Arabidopsis thaliana: one gene and its partner. The protein of the gene in region 1 interacts with the protein of each later gene in a pairwise test. Each region holds a gene or a part of one and is shown on either strand. Other genes may lie near its edges.

Region 1 (15,235 bases):
TTTCTAGAACGTTCCGTTGATGTCGGAGGTCTTTGGTCAAGTAATTCTATGTTCTGGTTCATGCTCGGATAGATCGCGGAGTTGACATTTTAGGTTGGTGTAGAATGTGAGGTATAAAACAAATTACTAATAAAACCTTTTAATAAATATGACAATTCAAATATTCTATTGTTTGTGGAGTTTGAAAAATACACCTTGTTATTGATAAAATGTTAAATTTTGTCAAGTGTTTCATATGTTTACAAGTAACATATGTCAGATATTATGTGTTAACATGTACTAGTAGTTTTTCTAATCTATAGTATTTTCGTTGGTCTCTCATTCTAACGTTTTGACTTCTTATAACTTTTTTGAATATAGATAAGAAAATATTCTGTTGTTTGTTGCGTTCTTAAAAAGTACACATTTTCATGGACGTTAAATTTGTCAATATTTGTCAAATATATGTACTACTAGTCGAAACGAAGATTTTTATAAATTTGCTTATTTGTACTTTCGCTGGTCTATCATTCTAACCTTTTGACCTCTTAAGTTGTAATTTCCGAATTCCGAGACTAGTAAATAGCGAATAAGCTATATTGCCATGTATAGTATATTCTTAAAATAGTAAGTATTTAAACAGGTGACACTGACAACACAAAAATCCAAATGGTATTTTCCAACTTTATCTAAAACCTTTATAGTTGTCAACTAGTAAAACGAAACAGAGGATACTTTTCTAGATTTGTCGTAATGAACCCATTACGCAATGGTGATTAAACAATTAAAACACTAGTAACAAAAAGACTTGTATACTCTGTGATCTTATAATAAGGATAATTTAATTAAAATATTATTTCATGACGTTATTTAAATTTCATTTTAGACCATGTATTTGCATACATATGTCGGCCTCGTCGACCATTCGGGGACCAATGGCGGGATATAACTTAACGAACATGATTACTTTAAACAAGAGAAAATCTCCATCACTCAACATTGACCAATTATTTATTTGTGGAAAGAAAGGAAAATCCAAAAAACAACATCAAATCATGACACGTCACACGAGCACAAGACACGTGGATTATTATTAGCTTGAAGTCGCATTATCAGTTTCTGTAACACGGCTCTGACCCGCTTCTTTGGTACTTCCGACATCACTTACACTTACGTACCCGTATTTATTATAATTTGATACTACTAGTTACTACAATTTACTGCACATACTCTTATTTGATTGGGCTTAGTTGTCATAATAACATCATTTGTATAAGCTAGAGATGGTTTGATTGGTATTGGGCTTTAAGCTCTCTTAACTACTGTATAACACCATTTGTTTTGTTTTGTTAAGTAAGAATATTTATATTTCATGTTTATAAACATATACTTTTACAAAAAAAATACAACAGATTATTAACATTTTCGTCAGCTCAACTCTAATTCAAATGCTAATTCCATAAGTTATTTGTAAAACCTAAAGTTTAAAAGAAAAACGAATATGGCAAAGAAATTTACAAGGTTTCCCAAAAGAATCAGAACTCATACAATAATACAACAGTGACAACAAGAAATTGAAATTTACTGCTACACATTTCTCTCCACACTATAAATTACAATCCACACAAAACACACACTTCAATCAACACTTGAGTCTCTCTACTAATCTACATGAATCTTCTTCCAAGACAAAGCAGCCACGGCAAAAGCACTTGAAGCTCCTATTAAAGAAACCAATAACAACTAATTGATCTTCTTTGGCTCATTCAGAACAAACTCTGCATACAGATCCTTCAAAGCAATCACCACCGTCGTTATCAACGGCCCCATTATCGCTCCCTGCAACAACAAAATACCCGAAAAAAACATTACAAAATCGCCAATTTTTGTTCCAAATTTCATAAAGACCCAATCCTTTAATTTTCTTACCTCTAGAGCAGAAGGAAACAGAGTGACTCCACCAATAATACTTAGTCCAGTAAGGTAAGCATTGGACCCAGGAATGTCATCTTGAATCTCTGAAGCACCATACTCCATTAGCACAAGATGAGTCACAGATAAAATCACTGCAACAATATATCTTCCTTCTAGCACGAGCTGCAAAGCCGCTGGGATTGTCGCGAACCAGTAAGGGAAAATCGGTAACAGAGCGCTGATGAAGGCAAGAACGGTTGACATGTAAAGGAAATGTATATTGTATAGTCTAAACAATAGCCAAGTGAGACATCCTTGGAAGAAGGCGATTTCCGCTGTTGCTAAAAGCACGCCGGATATCGCTAAGTCTAAGACTTCGACACATCTGTTTCTAGCGCTTGCGTTGATCGGGAGCATGTTCATGACTTGCTCAGTCACACCGCCTGATTCTGATGTGATAAGAATGTATAAAACCCAAATGAAAATCATTAGCTGAGAGATAAAGTTGAAAAACTCTGCTGCTCCTGAGATTATCAAGTTTCCAATAGAGAAAACGAACTTAGCACCGCCTCCAACAACCGATGCGCTGCTCGAGAAAACCCGTTGCGATACATCCATTCCTTTAACAGCAAAGCCTTTAGCTTTCTCTACTAAATCTTCTCTAGTGATAATAAGCTCCCTGAAGATCACATCAACCTCCGAGTATATCTGACTCCACTCTCGATTCTTAACCCGAGTCCTCAAACTCATGAGCTTCTCTGTATAAGGAGACGGAGTTATAAGCGCCGTGGAAGGCGTCGACGTGTTCTGAGGATGCCCGATCACAAAATGCTTAATCCCAGTGACTAACTCCGTCATATTATACTGCATTGCCAAACTATCAATCTGCTCAGAAACCGTTTCATAAAACTTCGTTGTATACATATCAACCATTCCCGGAACATCATTCTCATCCATCCATTGCTTGATCCCAATCTTCTCAGCGTAATTACTCTCTTCAACATGAGATTTCAGAGAATAAACAGCATCTTTCCCTTCAACACCAATCTTATACGAGAAGAAGATGACACCAGTCAAAGATCCAACAATCATGAGCACAATCAAACCAATAGCAACTATAGTATTCAATCTCGTCATTATCCCTCTAGTGAAATAAGCAGTGAAATGGCTTCTCCTAAAACTATTACTCCTCAGAGAAGAGACCGCAGAGAGAGACGAATCAACATTCTTGGAACTAAACAAAAACCCTAAAGAGAGAATGACAAGAGACCCAATTCCACCAATCCTCTCATAAGCAATGACAAAGACACCAAAAGAGACTAACCATTTAACCAGTTTAGAAAACCCAGTATCGTTCTTCTTCCTCGTTCTCTTAGGTTTCGATCTCCTAAGAAAAACCCTAAAGCAGACGTTTTTAATATCCACAATCGACCCGATGAAAACATTGAAGACAGAAACAGGAACAGCGAGAACAACTTCCGTAAGCCCTAATTTCAAAGGCTCGCTCCAGAAATCAACAAGGGTTTCTTGAATACCTCGTAAAGGAATCGAACAGAGAATCGCCCATTGAATCGGTCTTAGATACTCTTGTAATAGCTTTCCGACGAAATACAGAACACAAATGGCGAAAGCGAGACCAGCGTGAGCCATTGCTATGTACATAGCGAGACGGGCTTGGGAATCAACGGTTGATAAAGATGTTTTGCTTGATGATCCATCGCCGGAAGGTTTACGCGGTGGCGATGAAGAAGAAGAAGACGGAGGGTCTTGAGGTTTACGAGATGAAGCGGAACGAAACATCTCTTGCCACGCGAGATTTGTGGGGATCGATGATTTCGTCTCCGAATCGTACGGGACCAATTCCATCGATCAATCTCTGTCTCCCTCCAAGAGCCGATTTTTTGAAAATCTTTGAAAAGAAGGTTTTTTGTTTGTTTGGGGGTTTGTTTTGCCTTGAAGCTGTAAGAAGAAACAGAGAAAGAGATGTTTCAGATTTTTATTTATTTATTTATTTATTATTCTCAAATCTCAGATGATAATTGAATGTTTTATGATTGGGACATTAATGGAGGAGACAGAAAAGAGAAACTATCTTAGTTTAACTTTAAAATGACGGAAATGCCCTAACCGACGACTAATTGATGGGTCTATTCCTGGAATTAAAATCAGTAATTTGAGACATAATTTTTTTTATGAAACTTTATTGATGTTTTTGCTATAAGTAAATTAGACCGATACAAATTGTCAACTAAAAGAATGTCACATGCCTAGAACATGCATGACACAACAAAGCCAGATAATTAACGCAAGTCACAAACTCACAATCTAACACGTTCTCCTGTCTCTGTGATTATTGTAAGATCGACAGATTTATTTCTTCTATTCCAAAACAAGCACTCGATTAATATTTACTTACACGTGATTACCATTTTCTTACTATTTTATTTTATGGCACGAAGTTCCATTTCTTGATTATAAATTTTTAATATTACCGTACCAGAACGTTGACCCAAGTTTTCTATCAGGAAATTTGTTAGGAAATGACAAATTAGTGCTTGATATCATGCATGAATCATGATCAAAAGTTGGCCCCATGTTTTTAAAAACATGGGCTAAAATTTTGGGAAAAAATTAACGAAAAAAAGATTGATGAAATAATTCTGTCAAGTACATAATAAATTCATAATACGAGAATTACGTGAATAACCTAAATTTTGTATCAACATTATTAAAAAAAATAGTGTAGAGTTTCATAAATTAATAAAATAATTTAAATTCAAACTCTAATTAAATCTAACCTCTAGACTTTAAAATCTTAACTATAAATCCGTAATGCATGGAAACATTAATTCTTCTGTAAAACAATAAACAAAACAAAATGGTCAATTGTTTAGAAAGTTCAGTATTTTAGTTAGATGAAAAAGATTTACAATAATAATTGTGTGATTTATTGAGTAATGATCGGGTTTATTCACCAGCCATCAGGCGGCTGATCGGGCCAGTTAACTAACATAAGGTCTGAATAAAAATGGGCCGAATCAATAAGGCTCGTCAATCTCAGTCTTGTGCTACATGTATTTTCACTTCTTCCACTTCCAAGTTCAAACAAATTTCGCCAAAATGGGATTACCTTTATGAACCAAAAGACGACCAGGGGACCTGACTTTATCGGTGTTAATGTTTCAATCATACTAAAATCGACAGAAATTAAAGTAGTGGATCCACAAATCTTACATTTTTATTAGAATAAGAAGTTTACTTATACAAAGAGATGATGACGTGGCCATGCAAGCTTTTTGTTTTATTACGTAGGCCCTCGGCTCCAAAAGTTTGTTGAGACTTCGAAATCTTGGAATTAAAGCTTCTCGTTTTCGAGGTCAAGCGTACATGTTAAGTCATTTTTATTCGTAAAGTGATAATAAGCTTTTTAAGTATCATCAACTTTCATCACTTATACATAAAATTCATTTAATTTACTCTTTATACGTATGACACTTAACCAAAGCTTTTGCTATTTAATCATTTGGCTAACTAACACTTCTTTCTTTCTTTCTTTTGGTAGGTTGCGGAACTAATTAACGCTACTCTTTCAAAGTTAATTTTTTTTACTGATAGTGTTATGTTTCCACAACAGTATGTTGCGTGAGGTGACGTCTATATGCTTATGACTATAAGCTAGCAGCTTAAACTATGTACAAAAATGTACAATGTCATTATTGTGATCACAAAATTGGTAGTTAGTTAATGTCATATATATATATATATATATATGTGTGTGTTTTAATTTTGTTAGGTACAGAGGCACTCTTGTAAATAAAAACTACCACTAAAATCTGAATGTTTTGTGCATTAAAAAAGAAAGAAAGATAAAACCTCGTACCGATCTGAATAATTTTTTATCAATGAAGTCACAATTTTGTACGTTGATGAAGTCAACACGTGGCAAATTACAAACTCGACAATTTCCTCAAGAGAAACAAAAAAAATCCCTGAAAAATTCCTCAAAATTTTCTTAATTTTCGAGATAAATTGATTTAAAATAAAATAAAACAGAAAGATACGCAATGAAACTGCGTTTTCAAGCAAACTGCTAAATTTCTATCTTTTTTTCTCTCTCTCTCTCTCTCTATAAGGGCTCTGCTTCTTGTACAACAGCCGAAACAATTATACCATGACATTAAAATCCAGATTTTTTTCAGTCATTTTCGTATTATTTGTTTAAAAGTAAAGTTTTTCTTCCATCAAAATGGAAAATGTGATCTGGTTTTTTTCTTAGAAGATATTAAAACAATCGGAGAGAGGATTGCAAATTTTTTATTTTTGTTAATTTGCTGTGTGATGGGTCTGGTTGATTCTTTGTTAGGAAAAGATGCAAGAAAATTTCTCAAAAGGAAAGATAGTGATGCTGCAGAAGCAGGTACGTCATTATTATAACAACAATTCATGAATCTGCCTCCATATTCTTCATTTGATTTGCCTCATCATAATTCAGATTTCTCATGATCAAAAATGATGCTTTATTTATTCCCACGTTGTCTCTGTTCTTCACCGTTTAAGTTAAATGGTTTTGATCGGATCTTTAATGGTTTTGATCGGACCTTTAGGCTTTTTTGATCTGTTTGTGAATTTGTAGGACGAGCTTTGGAAGAACTCAGAAGTTCTTTGTACAATGAGCTTAAAACATCAGAAGGAGCTAAAAGGCAACAACAGAGATTTTGTGGCCCTGTTGTTGCAATGTCCTTTAATTTCGTTGTTGCTGTTGGAATCATCCTTGCCAATAAATTAGTAATTTGGTTTCTTCAATCTCAAATTCTTCTTTCTCTTTTTTTTATTTACCATGTGAATGTAATTGTAAGGTTGAATTGTGCAGGTGATGGGAAGAGTTGGATTCAATTTCCCAATCTTTCTAACATTGATTCATTATACCGTGGCTTGGATTCTTTTAGCTTTCTTCAAGTCTCTCTCTTTGCTTCCAATGTCTCCTCCATCAAAGACAACACCTTTCTCATCTCTTTTCTCTCTTGGAGCTGTCATGGCCTTTGCTTCTGGACTCGCTAATACCAGTCTCAAACACAATAGGTTCATAGCTCAATCGCTAAAGTTTGAATCAAGATTCATAGCTTAAGCTTGAAAGCTTTTGTTCTTCTTTGTTTCCAGCGTTGGATTCTATCAAATGGCTAAGATCGCAGTTACACCAACGATTGTTCTTGCCGAGTTTGTTCTCTTCAAGAAAACCATTTCTTCCACAAAGGTTTCGCTTATATCTTTTATGACATGTCAACAAAACAATCAAGAATTCATTACATGTTTTTGGTGCTTACTCTGTTTTTGCAATTTGTCCTCTTACAGGTCATGGCATTAGCTGTAGTATCTCTAGGTGTGGCAATCGCGACAGTGACGGATCTAGAATTTAATTTGTTTGGTGCATTAGTTGCTGTTGCTTGGATTATTCCAAGTGCCATTAACAAAATACTCTGGTCTAATCTTCAGCAACAAGCTAATTGGACTGCCCTAGCGTAAGAAATAAGAATCTCTCTCTTTTACTTTTACTTGAGGTGTAAGCAATACAAGTCTCTTAAAATAAAGGCTTTATTGAATGTAGATTGATGTGGAAGACAACACCGTTTACTGTCTTCTTCTTGTTGGCTCTCATGCCATGGCTTGACCCACCTGGAGTTTTGCTTTTCAAATGGGATTTAACTAACTCTTCCGCAATCCTCATCTCGGCTCTTCTCGGCTTTCTTCTCCAATGGTCTGGTGCACTCGCTCTCGGGTTAGTCTTTTTGTTCTCTTGCTTTGGTTGGAAGTTCAGTCTTGAGGTTATAAAATGCTAACTAAATTTGTTGTTTCTTACAGGGCAACATCAGCAACATCTCATGTAGTATTAGGGCAATTCAAGACATGTGTGATCTTGCTTGGAGGTTACGTTATCTTCGGCTCTGACCCTGGTTTCATCAGCATCTGCGGCGCTATCGCAGCTCTTGGAGGCATGTCTGTCTACACGTGGCTCAATCTTCCGGGGAAATCCATCGATCACATGTCAAACAAGCAGCTGCCAAAGCAAAACGTCACCGTTTCAAAACCTAAAGCCGAGGCTGACGACGGAGGAGGAGAGACCGGAGTAACCGTAGTTTCTGTTGACCCACTTCTCTCCAAGACGATAACTGCAAATATCGTATAGTTTTACAATTTGATTAGATTGCCAAAGAGAAAAAAAATGAGTTTTACTTTTTCTTCTTCAGGTTTTAGTTTGTAAAATTGGTTCAGTTTTGATATCAAATTAGTGTAGTAAAGTATACTAATAAAAATATTTTGATATCATAATGTGACAAGAGGGCTTGGTGGGTTTATTTGTACGATAATGAAATAGATGGTGTAGTTTAGAAGTAATGTAAAACTTGATGTGTATTTTTTTTTTTGTCGTCACTTGATGTGTATTATGAGGTGCAATTAGTAAATATAATAAACCTTTTTGACTTTTTCTATAATTTCAAAAACTTTAATGTAGTAAAGTGAAAACTTGTGGGGAATAGGGTTTTCGGTGATAAAATCGGGCTGACCCGAACCCGGTTTAGTGCGAGATTCCACTGTCCGTCGTTAACAAAGGAGCTAAATCTCAGAACGATTTCTCGATTTGCTTTTGCGACATTATAATTTTCCTTTCAATTGACTCAGTGAGTCGCCGATCGAGTTAGAAATGGGAATGGGAAGTAACGGAGAATTGAAGTATGAGATCTCCCAGAACGCGTACATCAAACTCGTTCTTCACTCGCTGCGACACAAGACGGCGGCGGTCAACGGAGTCCTCGTCGGTAGAATCAGCCCTAAGGACGACGGAGTTGTAGAGATCTCAGATTCTGTGCCGCTCTTTCACTCTAACCTCGCTCTCCTTCCTCCTCTCGAGATCTCCCTCATCATGGTTCGTATCTCTTCTTATTCGAATCGATTTGATTTTACGAGCTTTGAAATTGAATTTTGAAAGAGATTATGATCTGATTGCATTGGTATGTATATTGAATTACGAATTCTGGAAATTTTTAGTTCGTGTACTAAGCTTGAGCTGCATATGTTATTATTAGCTTGTTCTTAGTTTTCTATATGTTTGCTTGATTCTCAGTGAAGTCTTATTGTTGTTTCTATATTAACATAGAAATTTCAGATCTTTATGTGTTTGTTCTGTAGCTTTGTTTGTACCTATATCCTTTAAAGAAAAACTTACGGATTCAGGTATATTTTTTGTTGTGGTAGATAGAGGAGCATTATGTGGCTCAAGGTTTAAGTATTGTTGGATACTTTCATGCAAACGAGAGGTTTGATGACGTTGAGCTCTGTGGTGTGGCTAAAAACATTGGTGATCACATTTCTCGCTATTTCCCTCAGGCACCAATTCTCTTGGTAATTAAATGTCTTATCCTTTACTTTCAAATGCAGCATTTTCGTTTAACTATCTTATGTTTTGTCCCTTTATGCTGTTTGTAGTTGAACAACAAAAAGCTTGAAGCCTTATCAAAGGGTAAAGAGCGAAGCCCTGTGATGCAGGTTGGTATTTCTAATCATGAAAATGCTTTGAAAAGCTTAGGAGAATATGAATATGAGATTGAGAAGTTAGTCAATTTAGTATTTAATATATATCAAGGCCACTCTACACCAGTATAGCTTCTTGGTATTTGAAAATATGGTTTTGGTATATTGTTATGCTCAATATAAGATCAAGAGAAAATAGTGAAAGACTGAGACACTCAAATTTTGTTGTATATGCTAATTTATGGTTACTCCAGGCTCTTGTCTCAACTTTGCATCCTAAGCAAATACTGTAAATTTATAAGATATACATGACTATACTAGCTAATTAAAGTTCACACTGTTTGCTTGAATTGTGCTACCAACCTTCTTGACACCAAGCTTATATGGTCTATGTAATAAACCCTTTCTCGCCCTTTTCTTTTGGTACTTTCTGCTTGATGCAGTTTCTCTGCAGCTGTTAAACTCCTATTTGTCACTTTTTACGGATTTAGTGATAGTGTATGTTGTATGTATATGCTAGCTCTGTGTGAAGGATGCTTCTAAGAACTGGAGAGTAGTTGGAGCAGATGGAGGAAGCAAGCTACTCTTAAAAGAGCCATCGGCCAATGTAGTTTTGTCAGATTACATTTCATCTGAGAAATGGAAGGACGTCACAGATGTTGATGATCATCTTGATGATGTAACAAAGTAAGTTAAATACACGAACTGAAACAAAAAAAAAGAAGCTAGAACCTTTATGTACCAGATGGTAATATCTCACTCATATTCACTGTAATTGCAGGGACTGGCTAAACCCTGGACTTTTCAACTGAAGATGGGTATGCGACATAGCTAAACTAGACTTTTGCTTTCATCATCTTCTGTCGAAAAACAAAAAAGTTCTCGGAGACCATTGTTTAAAATTTCCCTTGAATCTTGTTAAAGTATTATCCAGCTATGCAACAGAGCTCAAATTACTTTTAATTGGTACACATCTTAAACCTTAGTTATATCATTTGAATGATATCTTTTGGAGCTTGTTACATTTTGATTATATAGTTGGAATGAAGAAAGCTCTACTTTATTTGGCTACTGTTCTTATACTTACAAAGGGAATAGTTAAATACTGAAGAACATGAAACCAAATCTAGTGCTTTACATTGTTTGAGTCCCTTAACTTGGAGGGTTTTACACAGATATAAGGTTACCGAAGCCATCAACAGTTACCCCTTTCAGGACAACGTTGCATCTACTTCAATTCTTAAAACACGGGACAACCTTCAACAACAACACCTTTGGCTAGAGGGCAATGCGCTAGAGGGCAATGGTCTGAATTCTCAAGCCCCCACCAATCAGGTAAGCTTATATCATTGTTCTGGAATGCGAAGAATATCAACACTCCCATAATCGCAGTACCTGCATCAAGCGCCGCAGAGAGGATGTAATTGTGCCTCGCCCACCAAGTTTTGAACCTCCTGAAGATGTAGTAGTTGAACACAACCCCAACGATGGCCCAGGACCAGTAATGCACAGCCTTAGCTTGTGGCATGGCGCTTACTGCAGAGAAGATCAAGGGAACATGGATCTGTTTTAGCCATTTCTTCTCTGGGAACTTCTTCGATAGGTACCAGAAGGGAACTGGAGCGAGGAGACCGATAAGGAAGAACCAGTTCATCCCGGGATAGATACCTTCTTTGGTAAACATTCTCCCTGGACCAATCACTCCCCATATGATTGATGCATTGTAGAACACTTCATCTCCAGGACAAGTCCATGGACTACCCACCGGGAGCAAATCGACATTACATATGTTCTCGACGGATGTAATGAGCCACCAGGTTGTTCCGAAGCAGACAGTTGATGCAACCACAGTTGCAACAAGCTGGACGATGAACATTGATCTTGGAGGAATCTTCATGTAGTGACCAAGCTTGAAGTCTCCTACAAAGTACAAGGCTTGAGACATACTGATGTATCCGTATGTCTTGAAAGCGACATTGGCTAGTGGCTTTCCTGGGTATAAGTACCCGATGATCAGTTCTGTTATAACGTTAAGACCCATTTGCTGGTTAGTAGTTGCTTGGATAACTCCGATAGGTAATGTGAAGAACAAAGCGATGGCGCAAGCGAGTATAAGTCCCCACCATGGGAGCTGAAGCTGTTTGTCAAAGCCCTCGCAAGCATAGAGTGCGAAAGCAAAGGAAATAACTAGAACTGCGATGAACCACCATTGAGGTACTGATTGATAATTCTTCTTCATCAATCTCGAATGCACGTCACCGTACTTGTCCTTTGTTGCTGTCTTTGCCTTCTTCCACATTCCCCATATAAACCTTAAGATACAAACACAAAAGAAGCTTAGAGAGAGTCATCATAGAAAATAAGCTATTCAAAAGATGTTGGAAGGTCCTTACTTTCCATCATAGAGGGCAACATGAGAGATGGTAGCGCAAAGAGAACCAAAGCTGAGTCCATAGAGCAACGCGAACATCACACTCAAATAGAGCTTGCTGTAACCGTTGTAAGCGTCTAGATTGATATCGAAATTCTTCTCATTGAGGATACGGGTAATGTTATAGGTGTGTCCAGTCTGATCAAAGGTGTGTGAAGTATAGAACGGAAACTTCTGAGCATCATAAGCATTAGTCCAGTAGAAGATAGGTAGAACAATGTATAAAAAGATGAAGAATCCTCCAAAGAAATTGGCAATGGCGAAGAATGGTACAGCCAACGGACTGCCTAAGAAACCAGCAACTGTGGACCAGTCAAGACCGAACGAACCAATACCTAAACCCTTGAGCCCAGAACCGACAATCTGAGCGGTCACTGAGCTTTTCCAAATCCAGCAAACAAATGAAATTGCGGAAATGGAAGGGAAAAGGTAGCCGGGGATTATGTAGTAAGCAAAGCTCACACAGAAGACAATGATGAAGAATCTAAACCTTGTTTGTTGCCCTTTTTGTAGATCCTCCTTCTCATGTAAAGCTCTGTTACATAGCCAAAATCAAAACTTGGCTTAAGAGAAAGCAATAAGAGTCACATATATGGGTCATTGAAACGAACCTAAAGAGTGAGACTTGAACCAAATTTGACGGCCACCACATATACGGTGAATCCACAAGGAACTTCCTGAAGATTCCAGCCCATCCATATCCCAACAACTGCAAAAGAAATGATTGTTAAAGTCTTAAAGATCACAAATCGTTAAAAATATTTGTTTCTTAGGCCATAGTTCTAGTATTTAAATGACTATTACCCACAACAACAAAATGAATATAATAATTTGTAAATGTATAAAATGCGAGAAAAATAATAATCAGTAATCATAAAGATTGAAGAACGTAATCAAGAAGATAATAGCTTTTTTTTTTTGTGTAGCTACTGTTATATCCACCCATTATAAAAACAAAAAGACAATAAAACTTAAGACATGTAAAAACTATATACCTGAGTGGTTTGAGTGAGCAACATGGCGGCGGCGACATTAAGTTGACGATTATAAAACGCTTTAACAATGGTAATAATACTGGTGGCGTAAACTCCACCAGCTCCGGTGTTAGCAAATATTGTAATAAGAACATGTTCCTTCATATTGAACGGACCAGGGTTAAAAGACCACGACCAATTCGTCCCGGGAAACCCAAATTTCTTTGTCGGTAGCGTCTTTGCCATGAGTTTCCCTAGCGGAAGGGTCACGATCTGTGCCGCAACTGAAGATACCCAAAGCTGGTTCGACCGGAAACCAAAGAACTGGTTCACGAAGGCAAGCAATATGCAAGAGAAAAGTCCAAGAGTCCATGTTCGAAACGTTAGCACCGGTAGTGTTGGATCGTCGGTTATCGGTACCGTTAACCGGACTTCTTCAATCGGATTATCATTCTCCTCCTCCAACACCTCTTCTTCTCCTGCACGTTAAAATTCAATCCAAACACACACTCTTAAACCAACCAACCATAAACGACTAGAAGATTTAAAGAATCGAAACAAAACCGGGATAAACCGAAATAAACCGAAGGAACATAGAGATACATTACCATTGATGACGATCTTGGACTCGTGAGAGTCATCGGAGGGTTTATGTTCGTCGAAAACGCTCGTCATTGTTTTGTCTTCAAGCTCCTTTTTTCCGTCCTTCACGATGGTTTCGTTTAGAAACCGAGGTTGTCTCCGGCGACGGTGACCGGATTTTCTAGCCCTCGGTAACCAGTCGGAATTTTAGAAAAGAAGCCTGAAGATTAAAGATTACGATAACGTTTTTAGCCTAGAAGCATTTGTTCATGAATTTGACTTCATATATAGACTTTCGACACAAAAAAAATGGATGTCAATAAAAAAAAATACAGACTTTAGACAATTTACACCACATGAATTTTGGTTTTTACCGTTTTACTATTATTAAGGTTAAGGAGACCGTTAAATAAGGATCCGTTTTCTTTGGTTTTTTTTTTTTTGGTCAACATTCTTTCAAAAGTATTGACTCAACAAGAATAACTAATTCAGAATTTTGTAAACTGTATTGGAATCTTGAAAGCGGACAACTCAAGATTCTGTATATACTGTATTTAATTAGTATCTTAATTGAATCCTATAGACTGGAATCTTATCAAAGTACCTCTTCTTTTGCACATGAAGAAGAACAAAAAAATAAAATGGAAATAATTGTGATGATACAAAAAAGAAGTAAAGATAATGATGACATATACTAAAAATGTATGTAGCTGGTCCCGATAATTAAGAAGTTAAGACGTATCGAAATCTAATATGCTTGAAACATGCCATGGTCATGTCAATTACGTTTGCTAGTGATATTTGAAGACTGAATTGGGTCATTGGTTCAGCTATATTTCAACAATTCAGATTTCGTTAAAAATAAACTAACAAGTAGAATAAAAAGGTTATCTATCTACTTACTAAAACCAGCATTTAGGTTTAGTGGCTTTCTTGTTCAATTATCTGCGTATTCCATATTCAACTTAAATTTTTCGTTGCCAATTCATCACCATATTGAAGTACTGTATCATGCTATTAAGTTTAAACAATATTTTGTAGACCGACTTTTAAAATACAACAAAATTGAATTAAAAATGGATTAGAAAGTCCTAACTAATTATATAAGATAGTCCAGATGGAAGAACTCAATTCGATCTGAGTTTTAGTAAAGTAATTTAATGAATCGTAAATCTTAAAAATCATGAAAAATCACTTGCAAGAAAGTGAGAAACAACCTATGGACCACAATAACAAGAATTTGTCGTAAAACAAAGAAAAGGTTTTAAGTTTTGTTGGAAACTTACTTGGTCAATTCTACTCGTGGTAATGTGGTGGACAAGCCTTAAATCGCGATTACAAGCTTAGAGAATGTTGTAAAGAAATACTCCAAGAAGATGGCATATTTATAGGACGAGAAGAACAAAAATAAAAAAATTTGGATATCCATCGCAGTTATTACAGATTCTTTATTTCTATAAATAGATTCCTAAATCGTTGCGTTTTGATTCTATATTCTATTTTTGTAAATTAAAAGTCCATGCATGGTTAGATATTGCACTGTCGTCTAGGTTCATTTTTACGTTTCTATTGCCAGCTCTAACGATTTTGACTGTGATTCATCTTTAATTAGATAATTAAGATCTATTGCCAGCTAGCTCTATTGCCATATTAATTACATAATTATCTCTAAGACTAAAAGATCATGTTCTGATGAAACTTGTCAACTTGACATGTCTCTAACTGCCAAAACTTATGAATTTAATGTACGTAGAACTTTTTAATATTGACTCCGATGACTTATTTGATGTTTGAAATCATGTGTAACAACTTTTGGCTCGATAGGCCTAAT
Region 2 (16,594 bases), on another chromosome or scaffold:
CGTGCGACTTAGTGTTACGGCACCATTTCATTCCTTTTTCTCAAATCCCTTATCAAATTAATATGGTTTAATTTTGTCAAGAGTGTCTTTGTCTTTGTTTTTATAGTTGTAATTTTAAAGAGTTTTCTTCATCTTTACGACATAAGAATCGAAAAATCTTACACGAACGTGCTCAACTCTCTTTCAACCTACCAATGAGCATACGACACATCATGAATTGTCCCACATTAGATTTATCCAAATCATACGGTCGCATTATTACAGTTTGCTTCTAAAGGACCAAGGACACATCAAAATTTCACCAATTATATTTATATGAACTAATATTCAATCATACCAAACTAAAGAAGGGGTTAGAGTTAGCTCTACGCTTCTACCTACTCTCAACCAAAAACACCTTTACCCATTCATTCTGATTCTTACATGAAATGAATTTCAGGCTTTATGATTTTTTTTATAAGAAATTTGATAATGATTGATCATGAAATCTAGTGCTTCTATTTAAAGCGACTTATTTGAAAATGAATAAACTTTACATTAGTGATTCAAGTGACAATATGGAGTGCCATAAGGGCCATAACACAAAGGCACAAACACACTAACACAACTGGAAGCTAGAAAAGACAATAACACGAAGGCTCACACTTGAGGCCCAGTAGCGAATTAAGGCCCATTATGACAACTCTTGAAATATCATGATTAGTGACCATTTTTGCCACCAGGGCCCATGGGGTACTTGGTTTGGTGAGACTCCAAATGAATTGACTGCCTAGTGCATGCTTATCCACGAAACAAGAGTTTTTACTTGTTTATTTTGGAATGTAGTAATTCATCTGTCATAGAAGAAGAGTAAAATATGTTATGTTTTAAAACATTATCCAATTTTTTTTTATTTTTTTGTTGCGTAATTAGTATATAGATAAGATGTAGTAGACTAAAGTTTGTCGGTTTCTCAGTCATTCAACATTTGTTAAAGCTTTAAAGGCATAGTGCTAAAGTTTGACAAGTGGAAACAGTCTCCATAATAGATGGCGCACATAGTTAATTGTGTCTAACAATGGCTGCGGTCGACTGATGGCCCATAGTTTGACAAGTACAAACAGTCTCCATAACAGATTTGCCTCTGTCTTTAAGCAAATCGACAGGAGCACATTAATTAGAGACACTCTCCTGGCTCGAAGGTACCGCAAAGGCCGCGGTGACTGCTCTCTCAATGGTTTTCCCATGCCTAGCTCGTAATAGTTCTCTATTTGTAATCTTTGCGTTTATTAGTTTCTGAGGCTTTTTAAAAAACAAATTGTCTTAGAAGCTATTTGTCCCAAAGATTTTTGCAAGTAACAATGTTTCCATTTTGGTAATTAATCACATTTCAAAAAAAAAAAAAAACTCACATTTTATCAAAAAAAGAAGAAAAATTGTGTCTAACAAAAACATATGCATTGCTTAGTACTGAAAATTTAAAACATGGTTGAGACTTGAGACATTGGGCCCATATATGCAATATAGAGCCATACGGTAATACATTTATGAGAGATTTTTACGACTTTTCTGAATCAACCTCGAACTATAAATTATAAAACAGTCACATGTTATTCTAGTTAGACTTCAAGTAGTGAGAAATTCAGTAAAAAGAACAGTCAAACCCACAAATTTCTGTTACATTATTTAACAATGAAAACACACAAATATCTGTTGTAATAGAGTAATAAGTAAGCAAGCATACGTACAGTGTGATACACAGTACAAATCTAACATCAGATACTAGCTTGAGATAATTTAATATTAATATGGGTGCAGGAAATTTTTGCCACGCTGGTTCAAACTCCATAGAAGTAACAGTTTTGTTTATATTAACATAATTTACAAATCTTGGAATTGGGATATCTATAGATATTTTTTGAATAACCACATAACTAGCTGATCAGCATGAACATTCTAGATATCAGTCTTGTAAATTGACATAATTTTGGTGGAAACATACATTTGGTATTCTTCTCCGAAACCGCCTGTTTTTTACATTGTAGCCGAGCCTAAGTACAATAAATAAAAATTCAAAGATGTCAACACAAGACCTCGTTTTTTAAAGTTGAATTAGCTAGGTAAATCTCTTTGGTATATAATTAAGTCGGAGATTGTGTTATGTAGCTAGCTCTCTTTTATGTATAAGCTGAATACTCTTTATTATAAGCAGTTTTTATGAAATACTATAACATATTCCTCCGATTCTCTATTTTCAAATAATCGTTTGTGTTGTGTTGGAGTTTTGCAGACAAATATGGACAAGAAGAAACAGTAGTATACGTCGTACGTAAAAGTTTATCTTATTAAAACAAAGCAACATAACATATCTGGTACATGTCATAAGACCTCTCATAGAGTGACACATACTTATTTAATAGAAATACACACTTTATAATTAAGCATTAAGAGCTCTTGGTAGATTAACATGGGAAGTAGCAGATACATTTGTGAGCTGGGAAGACATAGTTGCAAGATCCATGTCGTGCTTTCTCAAGGTTAATGCACTGATTCTTGCACGCGTTACTGTTTCCGCAAACTCCGGACCATGTCCCACTTGGCCTCTCGCACAACTTCTGTGCTTCCACCACCATCGGTGCTTCTGCATATAGATATATCTCTCACAGTTAATTATCACAATAAAATGAAAGAAAAAAGGTTAAAACTCAATTTTCCATGCATATGGTATACGATAACATCATTACTCACCAAGAGCAGCAAAGAAAACAAGAGCAGCGAAGAAAAGAGTAACGATGGTAGCAGACTTAGCCATGACTATTGTTTATACTTAGTTGTTTTCGATGTATATATGTTTTAGTTTGAAGAAATCTGCTTGAAATCAACCACTATTTATAGTGAAAAAATGATGGGGAGGTCGACTTTTACGTGTGCATGGGACAATAAAGCGTTCAACCCTATAAATAAAAAAATACACACCGTCTGATAGTAGAGAATACTAACATGCAAGTATTCATCTAATGATAGAAGATAATATCTTGACCAATTCATAAAAAGTGTGCTGATCGTGATCGGTGGCGAGTTTTCAGGTGCTACGTTTGTTCATTTGCAATTTCATTGGACCGGTGGCTACTACATTAACTGTTAACATCTCTGGCTGGTTAATTTGACTTGGTCAAAATTTTAAATATGTTGAGCATATCCTAGTACGGTACTCAAGTGGTACTTTGTCTCGACCACATCGCATTTAATAATAAACCATGAAGTTGGGTAGTATTTTTTTATCGACTTTTATTATTTTTTACTGAAACCTCCAAGGAGCTACTTCACTAGCTGGCAAGTTGATAAATTAGGTTATTTCTTCACTTTCTTTGGTATTGATTATATAATCATCAAACTAATTAGGATCTAAACATGTAATTAAATATTAGCAACATAGTGGATTTGGACTAACAAATTTGTAAAATAGCGCATAGATTATATTTAATTTCGTAGTTCCCACCTCAACTCCCACACAAAACTTCTTGGATTCAACTCTGCCATTTTCGGACGACCGAGAAGATAAATCCGATTTAATTTTATTTATTTAACTTATTGTTTTAAGGTAAAAAAAAATTTTTAAGAAAAACTGAAAGAAAATTCGTTTTCGATTTCATAGCCGTCATCCGCAAACTTTGACAAAGACTTGTCTCCTCTTTAAACATTTTCTGTATCAACAGCCACGTACCTTCAAGCCCTTCTAAGACAGCACCAGCACTAGCCGTGCATGGACAAGACAAGTAACAAACTCAGAATAGTACACCACCCAAGTTAATTTGTTAGGTTATTATTAAGAATAGAAAGAGAAGTTAACATTGTTAGATATGAATTATATTTGGTTAGATTAAGAATGCTTAACTTAGGGAAGGCTGCTTCTCTGTTTAATGTAACTTAACTATTTAAGTGGCTGCTTTGGCTTTTGAGTCAAGTGTTACATTGCCTATAAGAAGTGGGCTTATTTTGAATACACACACAATTAAGGGATCAATTATGGGATTAGCATATTAAAGTCTGTGCTTTTGTAGATATAGGAACATCTCATGTTCCTTACAAATTTAGATACTTTTATATTATATGGATGACTGTTTTATCCTTCAATCTAATTGAGTTTCTTCTCCTTGTACCTTCAATCTAATTGAGGAGAATTCATCAATATCAATCGATCTCAGAAATGTGCGATTATTTCTCTCTCTTTCTCTTTCTCTAATGGCATGGAATCTATTGCCTCTAAACTCACCATTGATGTCCATTGCTTCTCCATCACCTTACAAAATTCAGATCTATGCCTGGCCAATCTTCTTCCTCGACGATGCAGGTGGTAATCCTCCATAGCTTTTTTGAATTTGAATTGTTTGATCTGAATTAATTTCATCCTCTCTTTCTTCAATTTCAAAGAGGGATAAGAAATAATTGAAAATTTTAATCGATTCCAATTATTTAAGATTAGTATATTTGGGTTCGTTATATAATATTTTCTTAGGGGTTAGCTTTCTTCCATCAAAAAGCTTTTAACTGATTTTATTGGGGTTTATCTGAATTGGATGGTGATGAAATGTTATTAACAGATTTTCTAATTTTTGTCTCTATCGATTTTGTTTCCGTAAATACATCTTTTGTGTATATATTGTCTTGTAGAAAGAAACATTGATTAAGTAGAGAAATAGGATAATCAATCTCTGTACTTAATACATCATCCATTGAAACAAGTTAGGAATCGATCCAATATGAGGCTCTGCAAAAACAATTCAGGAAAAGATTCTGCAAAAACAATTTAGGAGAATGAGTGAAATCGCAGGGGCAATTTCGTCAATTTATTTCCCAAAAACTGCCTATCTTCATAAACTCAATCATAATGTGCTCTTTCTCTAATTTATGGCCCAAAATGTACCCAATATTATAAAAGCCCCCACAATTAAGCACCAAAGAGTTTTGGTACATTAACTTGGGAGGAAACAGAGACACTTGTTAACTGGTAAGGCAACATTTCAAATTCCATATCTTGTTCTCTCAAGTCCAATGCATTTATCCTTGCACGCTTGATTGTTTAAACCATTTAGATTAATGGGTTGGCATTGGTCACGCTGATCCAATGTTTCAAATGGGTAAGTGAATGTTGATTGCCGACGTGACTGAAGACCCAAGGCCCAACGACCTACTGGTCCAGGTTGACTATGAACAAAAGAACTAGATTTTTTTTTCCCCTACATTTTAAAGAAAATACTTGATGAAGATGTGGTGCCTTTTCATAAGATCTAAAAAGTTTCAAATCTTTACGATGGAACAAAAAGTGAAAGGTGAAGTAAGGGTCATTTGGGATTGAGAAGTTTCTTCGTCCAAAATCATTGCATGAGTTGAATAGATTTGGGATTAAAGCTGCCAATACAAGAGGATTCGGTAATGACTGAAGCAAAAGCCCAGCAGGGCCATTAGGCAAACACCAGTTTCCAAGACGGATTTGTGTAAGACCACTTATGACACAAGTTTGTCTTCACTATCATCATCTTCTTCTTCTACTTCTACTACTACTTTTGTAGCCTTGTCGTTTTTATCATTAACATGATTGACAAGACTATGACCTATATATCTTATTATTATCATTGCTCTCTCTATTTGTTTATATTGATTATTACTTTTTGAGATTTTTCAATGGTTTTATCTCTAACTAAACATTATAATTAGTGAAACAAGCTTAGTAGAAGTAAAAGTATTATTCTATGCTAAAGTACATTGATTAGTAGAGTGTGTAATTGTGTATACAGATAATCTATAAACAATTGGTGCATCTGTATATAAAACTTTATGATTTATTTATTGTATTTAATAAGTATATGAATTGGGTACCTAACTTTCTAAACAGTTCCAAATTTATTCTTAAATCAAATTGCATATGATTTTTAAATATTTTGAGACGATTTTATTATAACGCAAACAACAGAGTAAAAGAAGCATATGTTGCAAATTGTACTATGGCAAGTTCAAATCGAAACATTTTTGTGAAAATCAAACATGTGAACCAAGCTTCTACAGTTTAATTCCCTTTCGTATAATTTAATTTCAACAAATTTATTGATATCCATCTAGAAATTGGTCCAAAGTTCTTTCACCCTTGAGTCATTTAGTGATAAAGATGACATGATTTTTGGTGATAAATTTTCCATCGTTGCTATATGTCGTTATATTATTCTCCTATATGTATATTATACTATTTACATCAGAAAATAATCCAAAGTTTAGAGATTCTTTTTTACAATAATAAAATTTCCCACTTACTAAAAAGAGCTCCTTTTCTGCTGAAGAGAACCTAAACCTTTATTCCCAAAGTTCATTGAGTTAGAGCATTTTCAGCGAATCACATAAGAGATGCTCTCTTCTTCATCACTAATTGACATCTCATTGTTTTAAAGGTTGCACTTGTACCTGTTGATCTGATTCTCAATCCACTTAAGTTAAACCAAATAGACACGAGAAAAAAGCACATTTATTTGTTGCTAAGTATGCATATTTTTCAGCGTTTACTTCTTAATCTAATGTATATCATAAGATAATATCTAAAAGAGAATGCACAAAAGATTATTAATATGAGAAATTCGCTGCCATTTAGGAAGGACCTTTATACCAATATACCGCAATAATAATAGAACATTGGTCCCCAAGTGTATGTCAACCCCAAGTGTATAGATTTCTTTAAAGATTAAAATCCCTTTTTGTTGCTAAAGCACCTGATATATTTTTCTATCAAACTAAAAAAATTGTTAGCGGGATGAAGATATATTCGCCAAGAACCATAGTGCTTGTATAACGGCAGACCATTAATTCACAACTATTATTATTTTATTGTTAGATTGTTGATAGAATCGATTTTGATTGTGGCAGAATCGATCTTGTAAAAACTGCTTTAAGGTGCTTACTTATAATTAAGAAAGATTCACTTATGTAAGTTAAGCATATTAATCATATCATTCGGCCTAATTCATTAGGAATATTTTGCTATTCGTTTTGCCATCATTAACAACAAAATTGACACGTTTTCAGCCAAAAGTATTAACAACTAAACCTAAAACTTCAAACATTAAATAGTTTTTAGTATCTTTAGTTTCAAACTAGTGATTTGTCCTAATATCAACACTACGAACGAATTTATATACATTGAACTTTTTTCTGAATCACCGATTACAAAACGAATATAATTTGGTATCGGCAGTTGCTATTAATTTGATCGGTTTGGACTTTGGACTAATCACGATCAAATCTTAAATGGACCGAAGTGAATAAATCCCTAATGTTTTCAAGAGAGTCACACGAACGAAACAAAGGTAAAATATGAACATAGAGCGTGGGGACCTTGAAGCAGAAGGTCTGTATGGTGACAGACCGGTGAGTGGAGTGTATGAATGAACGAGAAGTGAGAAGACAAAATACAAGAAAGAGCGTTGACTTGGAAGTTAAAGCCAAAAAAACCACAAGGGGCAAATTTGTCTCTTTAGGAAAAGGACACAGACAGACTTTCTATACGGGCCAATTAGAAAAATAGGCCCTACTTCTAATTAAAGCCCATTTACTTCTCTCCTTGTCTTCTTATTCCTCTTTTCTCCCCATCACGTGACGACGATGCTATAAACGCCGTCGGATTATATAACTGGTGCCGTTGACAAGACGGCGACAGAAGAAAGAAAGAAGAAACCACAGGCTCTAGGGAACGTAACGTTATGTCCTGTCTATAGCATTTATAACGGTCAGATCAACGCCGTTTAGATAAAGATCTGTCAATGTTAAAGAAGAGATGCATCTCTACACCGTTAAATTTAAAACGCCGTGAACCTCTTATCTATTGATTTTTGTTTGATGAAGCCAAAACAAATCGTGTCAGAAGACTTATCAGAGAAGAAGAAAACGACGACGTTCCCGTTTCTCCATGTCTAATAAGTGTAGTAGTGGCGGCTACTAAAAACTCTAAAGTTTGACTCCAGTAAAACTGCCTTTCTAGTGTAATTCCAGTGATTTTAGAGTTTGAATAGTGTGTGACCAAATTTGAAAGTACAATCTCAGCAATATTATTGATCACTCGTTATAAAAGAATCGAATGTAAAAATAGCCAATGAGAGACTGAGACGTATGTGTTTGACCATAAGTCGTATAGTTTGTATCTATCTACCTGCAAGATCAGCAGATGGTTCTCTGATCAATTGTACCTTAATTATCTTTTATTTTCGTAAAATTTCTCTATTCACAAATGATAAATCTACTTAAGACAGTAACCATAACAAGATTTACAAGATAATTTGAAAAATGAACACATAAAAGTATTTTGGCGCATTATTTTTAATAATAACAATATTTATGTAAAGTCACATAAAAGTATATATTCGCTCACAAAGTCTTACGGTATTTAGAACAGTAGTACCACATCGATTCTCTTCATCTTCTTCTTCATAATATGCCATTGTTCATGTCTCTGTGTCCTATCGCATAACACTCACGCTATCTTATTATTTTCTCTCGCTCTTTCTCACTGAGAGGACACTAAAAAAATGGCGATGAGACTTTTGAAGACTCATCTTCTGTTTCTGCATCTGTATCTATTTTTCTCACCATGTTTCGCTTACACTGACATGGAAGTTCTTCTCAATCTCAAATCCTCCATGATTGGTCCTAAAGGACACGGTCTCCACGACTGGATTCACTCATCTTCTCCGGATGCTCACTGTTCTTTCTCCGGCGTCTCATGTGACGACGATGCTCGTGTTATCTCTCTCAACGTCTCCTTCACTCCTTTGTTTGGTACAATCTCACCAGAGATTGGGATGTTGACTCATTTGGTGAATCTAACTTTAGCTGCCAACAACTTCACCGGTGAATTACCATTGGAGATGAAGAGTCTAACTTCTCTCAAGGTTTTGAATATCTCCAACAATGGTAACCTTACTGGAACATTCCCTGGAGAGATTTTAAAAGCTATGGTTGATCTTGAAGTTCTTGACACTTATAACAACAATTTCAACGGTAAGTTACCACCGGAGATGTCAGAGCTTAAGAAGCTTAAATACCTCTCTTTCGGTGGAAATTTCTTCAGCGGAGAGATTCCAGAGAGTTATGGAGATATTCAAAGCTTAGAGTATCTTGGTCTCAACGGAGCTGGACTCTCCGGTAAATCTCCGGCGTTTCTTTCCCGCCTCAAGAACTTAAGAGAAATGTATATTGGCTACTACAACAGCTACACCGGTGGTGTTCCACCGGAGTTCGGTGGTTTAACAAAGCTTGAGATCCTCGACATGGCGAGCTGTACACTCACCGGAGAGATTCCGACGAGTTTAAGTAACCTGAAACATCTACATACTCTGTTTCTTCACATCAACAACTTAACCGGTCATATACCACCGGAGCTTTCCGGTTTAGTCAGCTTGAAATCTCTCGATTTATCAATCAATCAGTTAACCGGAGAAATCCCTCAAAGCTTCATCAATCTCGGAAACATTACTCTAATCAATCTCTTCAGAAACAATCTCTACGGACAAATACCAGAGGCCATCGGAGAATTACCAAAACTCGAAGTCTTCGAAGTATGGGAGAACAATTTCACGTTACAATTACCGGCGAATCTTGGCCGGAACGGGAATCTAATAAAGCTTGATGTCTCTGATAATCATCTCACCGGACTTATCCCCAAGGACTTATGCAGAGGTGAGAAATTAGAGATGTTAATTCTCTCTAACAACTTCTTCTTTGGTCCAATTCCAGAAGAGCTTGGTAAATGCAAATCCTTAACCAAAATCAGAATCGTTAAGAATCTTCTCAACGGCACTGTTCCGGCGGGGCTTTTCAATCTACCGTTAGTTACGATTATCGAACTCACTGATAATTTCTTCTCCGGTGAACTTCCGGTAACGATGTCCGGCGATGTTCTCGATCAGATTTACCTCTCTAACAACTGGTTTTCCGGCGAGATTCCACCTGCGATTGGTAATTTCCCCAATCTACAGACTCTATTCTTAGATCGGAACCGATTTCGCGGCAACATTCCGAGAGAAATCTTCGAATTGAAGCATTTATCGAGGATCAACACAAGTGCGAACAACATCACCGGCGGTATTCCAGATTCAATCTCTCGCTGCTCAACTTTAATCTCCGTCGATCTCAGCCGTAACCGAATCAACGGAGAAATCCCTAAAGGGATCAACAACGTGAAAAACTTAGGAACTCTAAATATCTCCGGTAATCAATTAACCGGTTCAATCCCTACCGGAATCGGAAACATGACGAGTTTAACAACTCTCGATCTCTCTTTCAACGATCTCTCCGGTAGAGTACCACTCGGTGGTCAATTCTTGGTGTTCAACGAAACTTCCTTCGCCGGAAACACTTACCTCTGTCTCCCTCACCGTGTCTCTTGTCCAACACGGCCAGGACAAACCTCCGATCACAATCACACGGCGTTGTTCTCACCGTCAAGGATCGTAATCACGGTTATCGCAGCGATCACCGGTTTGATCCTAATCAGTGTAGCGATTCGTCAGATGAATAAGAAGAAGAACCAGAAATCTCTCGCCTGGAAACTAACCGCCTTCCAGAAACTAGATTTCAAATCTGAAGACGTTCTCGAGTGTCTTAAAGAAGAGAACATAATCGGTAAAGGCGGAGCTGGAATTGTCTACCGTGGATCAATGCCAAACAACGTAGACGTCGCGATTAAACGACTCGTTGGCCGTGGGACCGGGAGGAGCGATCATGGATTCACGGCGGAGATTCAAACTTTGGGGAGAATCCGCCACCGTCACATAGTGAGACTTCTTGGTTACGTAGCGAACAAGGATACGAATCTCCTTCTTTATGAGTACATGCCTAATGGAAGCCTTGGAGAGCTTTTGCATGGATCTAAAGGTGGTCATCTTCAATGGGAGACGAGACATAGAGTAGCCGTGGAAGCTGCAAAGGGCTTGTGTTATCTTCACCATGATTGTTCACCATTGATCTTGCATAGAGATGTTAAGTCCAATAACATTCTTTTGGACTCTGATTTTGAAGCCCATGTTGCTGATTTTGGGCTTGCTAAGTTCTTAGTTGATGGTGCTGCTTCTGAGTGTATGTCTTCAATTGCTGGCTCTTATGGATACATCGCCCCAGGTTAGTTACATGTCAACAACATTAGTACTCACCAAAATGATATATGTTCTGATTATCATTTTGTTTTTGGTTTGCATAGAGTATGCATATACCTTGAAAGTGGACGAGAAGAGTGATGTGTATAGTTTCGGAGTGGTTTTGTTGGAGTTAATAGCTGGGAAGAAACCTGTTGGTGAATTTGGAGAAGGAGTGGATATAGTTAGGTGGGTGAGGAACACGGAAGAGGAGATAACTCAGCCATCGGATGCTGCTATTGTTGTTGCGATTGTTGACCCGAGGTTGACTGGTTACCCGTTGACAAGTGTGATTCATGTGTTCAAGATCGCAATGATGTGTGTGGAGGAAGAAGCCGCGGCAAGGCCTACGATGAGGGAAGTTGTGCACATGCTCACTAACCCTCCTAAATCCGTGGCGAACTTGATCGCGTTCTGACCCAAGCAAGATAAATATGAAAATAAGATGCGAAATGTGGTGATCATTTTTTGGGTGTTCTTATTTATGGTTTCTAATACTTTCGGGTTTGTATATTTGTTGTGTTTCAATTTGTATATTACCTCTTTATGTGTTATTATCTCGAGTATGTAATGTAATCAATATGCTTATTGCTTGATGGCTTTAAACTTTAGCTAATTCTCCGTTCAGAGTGTATAAAATAAAAGAATGTGAGAGCTTTGACCTCTGGATTTAAGTCTAGACTGTTTAGAATATGTGAATTAGGGTCATATCTAAATTCAGGTTTGTGTTAGCTTCCGACAGTGTCATGTTGCAATCTTGACCTTACTTACAAAGTATTTACCAGCAGATGGCTCGGAAAATAAAAAGGAAACACATCTGATAAAAAAAAACACGGAATCAACAGACTAATGGTTGATTAAGAGATTGGACTCGTACTCTGCATTTGGAATAATGACCAGTTTCATTGAGTTCTTGGGGGTCATTCACTTCTCATATTTTTACGAGCTAAGAAAATCACCTCAGGGTCATAACATTGTAGTTTCTGCTCTTGAAGCAAAACACACATAAACTAAGAAACCGGAAAAATTCACAGAAATCAACAACCAAGAAGCTTTAAAAGTTCATGAACAACAGAATTCAACCTCTATAATGTGCATTTTCCCACAAGATGAGGATGATGCTGTGAAGCTAATTCTATCCATAACTCTTACCTCCATTCATAGAGCAATTCAGAGAAGAAGACAAGGCACATAGTCACAACTTATAAACGGGTGTGAGAAGAAGACAAGGCAAATTAGTCACAAATTCATTAAGGTAGAGAAACAAGATCCTTCATTACTCTGTTTTAGTCTCTTCATTAAGAATCATATACAATTTAAATCACAAAACTTTCAAGGCCACAATCTTGATTAACTTGGAAAGACCTGAGTTTCATTCAGATTTAAACAACACTGCAGCTCTCAAAATTCAAAATCGATTGTATAAAGAAAACAAGAACATCTATCATCATCATAATCACTATCCGATTTTACAACATATCAATACAAACAAAAACCTCCCAGCTTACACGAAGAAGAACATCATTACCTTATTCCTTAACTCCGAACACATGTTATTTAGATTACTCTGTTTTAGTCTCTTCATTAAGAATCCCCCAAAATTCTCAATGCCACAATCCTCATTCAGTGGTAAGACTCGAGTATCAACATTCAAATTTGGATAACAGTGCAGCTCTTAAATTCAAAATCCATTTTTACTTTTAAAAACAAGAACATCATATCTATAATCATCACAATCACTATCCGATTTTACAACATATCAATACAAACAAAAACCTTCCAACTTACAAGAAGAAGAACACCATTACCTTATTCCTCATCATCATCTATTACACAGAAAATCTATGAGAAACGTATATATCTAACACATGTTATCTACTTCACAAAAGTCAAAATAAAGAGGGAAAATTCGAAGTTTATATACTCAGAAAGCACCGTAAGGTATATGTTGTGGAAGCCTAAATCGAACCTGTGAAGCCGGAGACCGAACCGCAACGCCGTGCCAGCAAATCCCTCCTTTACAAATCGCACCACCGTCGTGATGGTGACGGTGGTGGCTAAGATCTTCCTCACCACCAACACGATTGTACCGAGAAACCGCCTCCGCTGCTCTACGAGACACATCCCAAGCAAGCGTAACTGCAAGCAAAACACCAACTGCCGTAATCGAAACGACGACGACGAATCCAGCGCTGAAACTCCTCCCGGTGATTAATCCGTAGGCTTTAATCGCGATAATCACCGCCACGTAGATCGTCGCGAGATTCCCGAGAACCGCGTCGGATAACGCCATGAGACACATCTAGGACTTTACTTCTTCTTCACCGTCGCCGTGAAATTCGTTGCGGTGGAGGAAGCTTTTTAACAGAAAAAGTGGAGAAAAGCGAAATTGTGGTGGATGTTGAAATACTCAAAAAGACGTCATCCTTGTCAACGAAGGGAAGGATATTTTGAAATTACTAAAACACCCTTGACAAGATCTTTTGCTTCCTCTCTATGGCTCATCACTAATGCGAGAAGAGTTTGGTAAAAGTACCCTTCCCGTAAAACGTCACCGTTTCGGGATTTGGTCAGACTTGCCACGCACTACATTTATGGGTGTATGACATTCTCACGCATGTCGTTGTCAAGGTCCTCAAAGTCCTCAAGAGGCTCTATTTATGTCTGTGGTCAAAATTTGATCGTCGTACTCAAAAATAAATGCTCTTTGGACTTAGTAATTGTTTCTAACGGGCCTCTAAAATCAGTAATGGGCTCCAGTATTAGACCCATCTTGGTATTAACTATTAAGAGTTCTTCTAATTTGAATAGTGGTGTGTTTCCTATGAGATATTATGGCATGTCTTCATCATATTCCATGATGGCTTTAATCTTATGATATTTTTTTGGCAAATCATATGCAGTGAAACAGACACTTGGTTTATATTTATAGGTTTACTCCCACTGTAAATCAAAGGCATCGTCATCAACTCACACTTAATTAAGATTATCTCTTTAATCTTTTTTCAGCTAGTGGTATCACTATTACTGTGTAGGTCCATTTAACTTTTGAAACTTATAATAGAGAATTTCTTATGGCTCTCATATGCGGCTTGTAAAGTCAAATTATTATTAAATACAGTAGTTGGGACAAGACCATGAAATGAATATTAGTATTATTCATTTCAATGTTCCGAATGGCCAACGCAGCATCAGCAGATAACAATTAAATGAAATATTCCCACCAATAGTTTCCAATATATAGCTTTAAACTAAATAGATTACTGCTTTATATAGTGTACATAATATTCTTCTAATCCTAGTTACATTATAAATCAAATAAATATTCTGACCTTACAATTAAACATTCCCATCTTTTATGAACTCCACCAGCAGCCCACTTTCTTGCCCACGTGTTCCTCACCCAAATTAAGAATTCTCCCATGAACATGAATGAAGGATATTTTCGTAACTGTAGGGTGTTGTTAACTTTTTTTCTCAACTCTGACCCAATCCGACGTCGTTCGGGAATAACCGGTTCACATGGGCCGGAACGAGATAAGGCTTTCGTCAGTGAGGGCCCACATTCTTCAGTGTTTTACGCGGGAGACAAAGTTAGGTGTCAAAAGAGCCGCCACATCCGACAAAAGGCCAGCGCAAGTGTGACTGTGATTCCACATAACGAAAGATGACACGTGGACGGTGATCCTTTGTTTTGATCCAAAGCTCCTTCGTATATCATTGATGTATCTACCGGTGACCACGTCGTACTACTATCTCCGGCAGGAGTTGTCGACGACGTCCCGGTTGGTGTCGTCGGTTTGGGATCTGGGCTCTGATCTTGAGATGATTTTTGACTGCAACAAACAAAAAAAAACATAGCCGCTTAGTAAATGTGTACGTGATTCTGCCACGCGTCCCCTCGAGATTAGAGATCATATAAAAAAATATCTCGATGAGCCGTTAACGATCCACATCCCAATAAATCTATCTTCATATTCGAGGGTAAATTGGGACTATCAAACAAATTGATAAGAAAAAAAGAAAAAAAATCGTAAATAAACAAATTTTTCTTTTTGCAGTATAAAGCAAAATTCTATAGATTCGGAGTAATTTATTTCTAGCTATAATTAAGCGTTACTTCAATTGCACGGTAAGCAAAAGGTAATTAATGGTTAGTAAATATGGTGTCTGCAGTAATTGACGAAAATAACCATAATCATAAACTACTATCCATGCTAATTTGGTGCAACAGTGAAGAAGATACATTCTATATTGACAAAACTACCCTCATAGGCAAGGTGTGTTAATAGTTATAAAAGGGTATAAATGGAATAATCACCTGGTGTTAGGAGTAGGGCAAAACGTGATAACGTAATTAGGAGATTCAGCACATGTGAAGGTACTACTCTGATCATCGTAAGCGTAGCTGTAAGCACGTGGACACGCAGTTTTAAACATCAACGAGTACGACGACGGTTTACACGTGTCAGGTGTACCGTGGGCGCCGCTGCAACAATACTCCGGCGTACGAAAAGCTTCACACGCGCTTTTACATCCCATGGATTGTTTACCTCTGCCGTCTAAACTCGTCACTTTAAGCTCCGACGGACACGAACCGTTCAGATCTACAACGCATCCGGTGCTGCTACAGTTTAAACCCGAGCCTCCTTGTGGAGCCACTAGCATCGGGACGTTGTAACCGTCGACGAGACTAACGTCGTAGAAATCGAGTCCGTTAGATCCGTCTAGTGTGAATTCCGCTAGTGTTGCTGGTGGTGTTGCTCCGGATCCGGAGCATTCGAGGGTACCAGATCCGCAATCTCCGGTGAGACAAGTGAATTTTCCGTCGGTGTCGGTGGAACATTGAGTTCTCCCCCAGAATCTTCCTCCCCATGAAGTTGGAGCGCTGATTGTTCGTTCTTCGCCTTTTTGGAGAACGAATCCGGTCGTCGGAAGTGGTGGAACTCCGGCGTTTGATAAAAGTCCAGGCCAGACTGTGTATTCGCATTTGTTCACCATAATGAAGCTCGTTGATCTAACTCCTGTTTATAAAACCATAAAATCATCAGAATCACAGTATTATTAATCATAACTAAAGTTGATCTATAGGAGAAGATTCGTACCAGAAACGAACAAATGAGAGAAGATAAGGAAGATCAATGGCAACGGAAGAGCCATTGAATTGGAGAAGAAGAAGATTTAAGGACTTTAATTGCTCTGTTTTCTTCTTCTTCTTTATTAGTTTTATTTATGAAACAGAGACTTAAAAGAGGATTCTGAGAGCGAAAGAGAGATGAAGAAGAAGATGTGTGCTTTATAGTAGAAGCTTTTTTCCTCTGTTGGTGAGAATCTGGTGTATGTGTTGGTTGGTAGCTTATGGTACGCCTGCTTACGTGGACACATCTAATTGGTTATTTTTTTTAACCGTTGAGATTAAGAAAAGCACCTGATGATTTTATATAGTA

Evidence for each region.
Region 2: the proteins of AT5G55950 (region 1) and CLV1 interact in a protein complementation assay, tested with the Arabidopsis thaliana proteins (one large-scale study listed by BioGRID).

What each region holds. Positions count from the first base shown.
Region 1 is NC_003076.8:22,651,250-22,666,484, reverse strand, and holds AT5G55950 (Nucleotide/sugar transporter family protein), read left to right. Parts: upstream 1-5,979; 5' UTR 5,980-6,231; coding exon 6,232-6,310; intron 6,311-6,458; exon of another isoform or gene 6,459-6,526; coding exon 6,527-6,678; exon of another isoform or gene 6,679-6,763; coding exon 6,764-6,972; intron 6,973-7,050; coding exon 7,051-7,144; intron 7,145-7,242; coding exon 7,243-7,409; intron 7,410-7,495; coding exon 7,496-7,666; coding exon of another isoform or gene 7,667-7,727; exon of another isoform or gene 7,728-7,749; coding exon 7,750-8,074; 3' UTR 8,075-8,373; downstream 8,374-15,235. Other genes in the region: AT5G55960 (transmembrane protein C9orf5 protein), read right to left, coding at 1,723-1,818, 1,909-3,759; emb2731 (Uncharacterized protein family (UPF0172)), read left to right, coding at 8,591-8,812, 9,142-9,288, 9,373-9,432, 9,938-10,104, 10,199-10,229; OPT1 (oligopeptide transporter 1), read right to left, coding at 10,658-11,729, 11,811-12,383, 12,460-12,557, 12,844-13,301, 13,431-13,497.
Region 2 is NC_003070.9:28,458,602-28,475,195, reverse strand, and holds CLV1 (Leucine-rich receptor-like protein kinase family protein), read left to right. Parts: upstream 1-8,224; 5' UTR 8,225-8,543; coding exon 8,544-11,133; intron 11,134-11,212; coding exon 11,213-11,565; 3' UTR 11,566-11,852; downstream 11,853-16,594. Other genes in the region: LCR67 (low-molecular-weight cysteine-rich 67), read right to left, coding at 2,442-2,620, 2,728-2,791; AT1G75810 (uncharacterized protein), read right to left, coding at 13,072-13,449; AT1G75800 (Pathogenesis-related thaumatin superfamily protein), read right to left, coding at 14,749-14,983, 15,469-16,171, 16,253-16,307.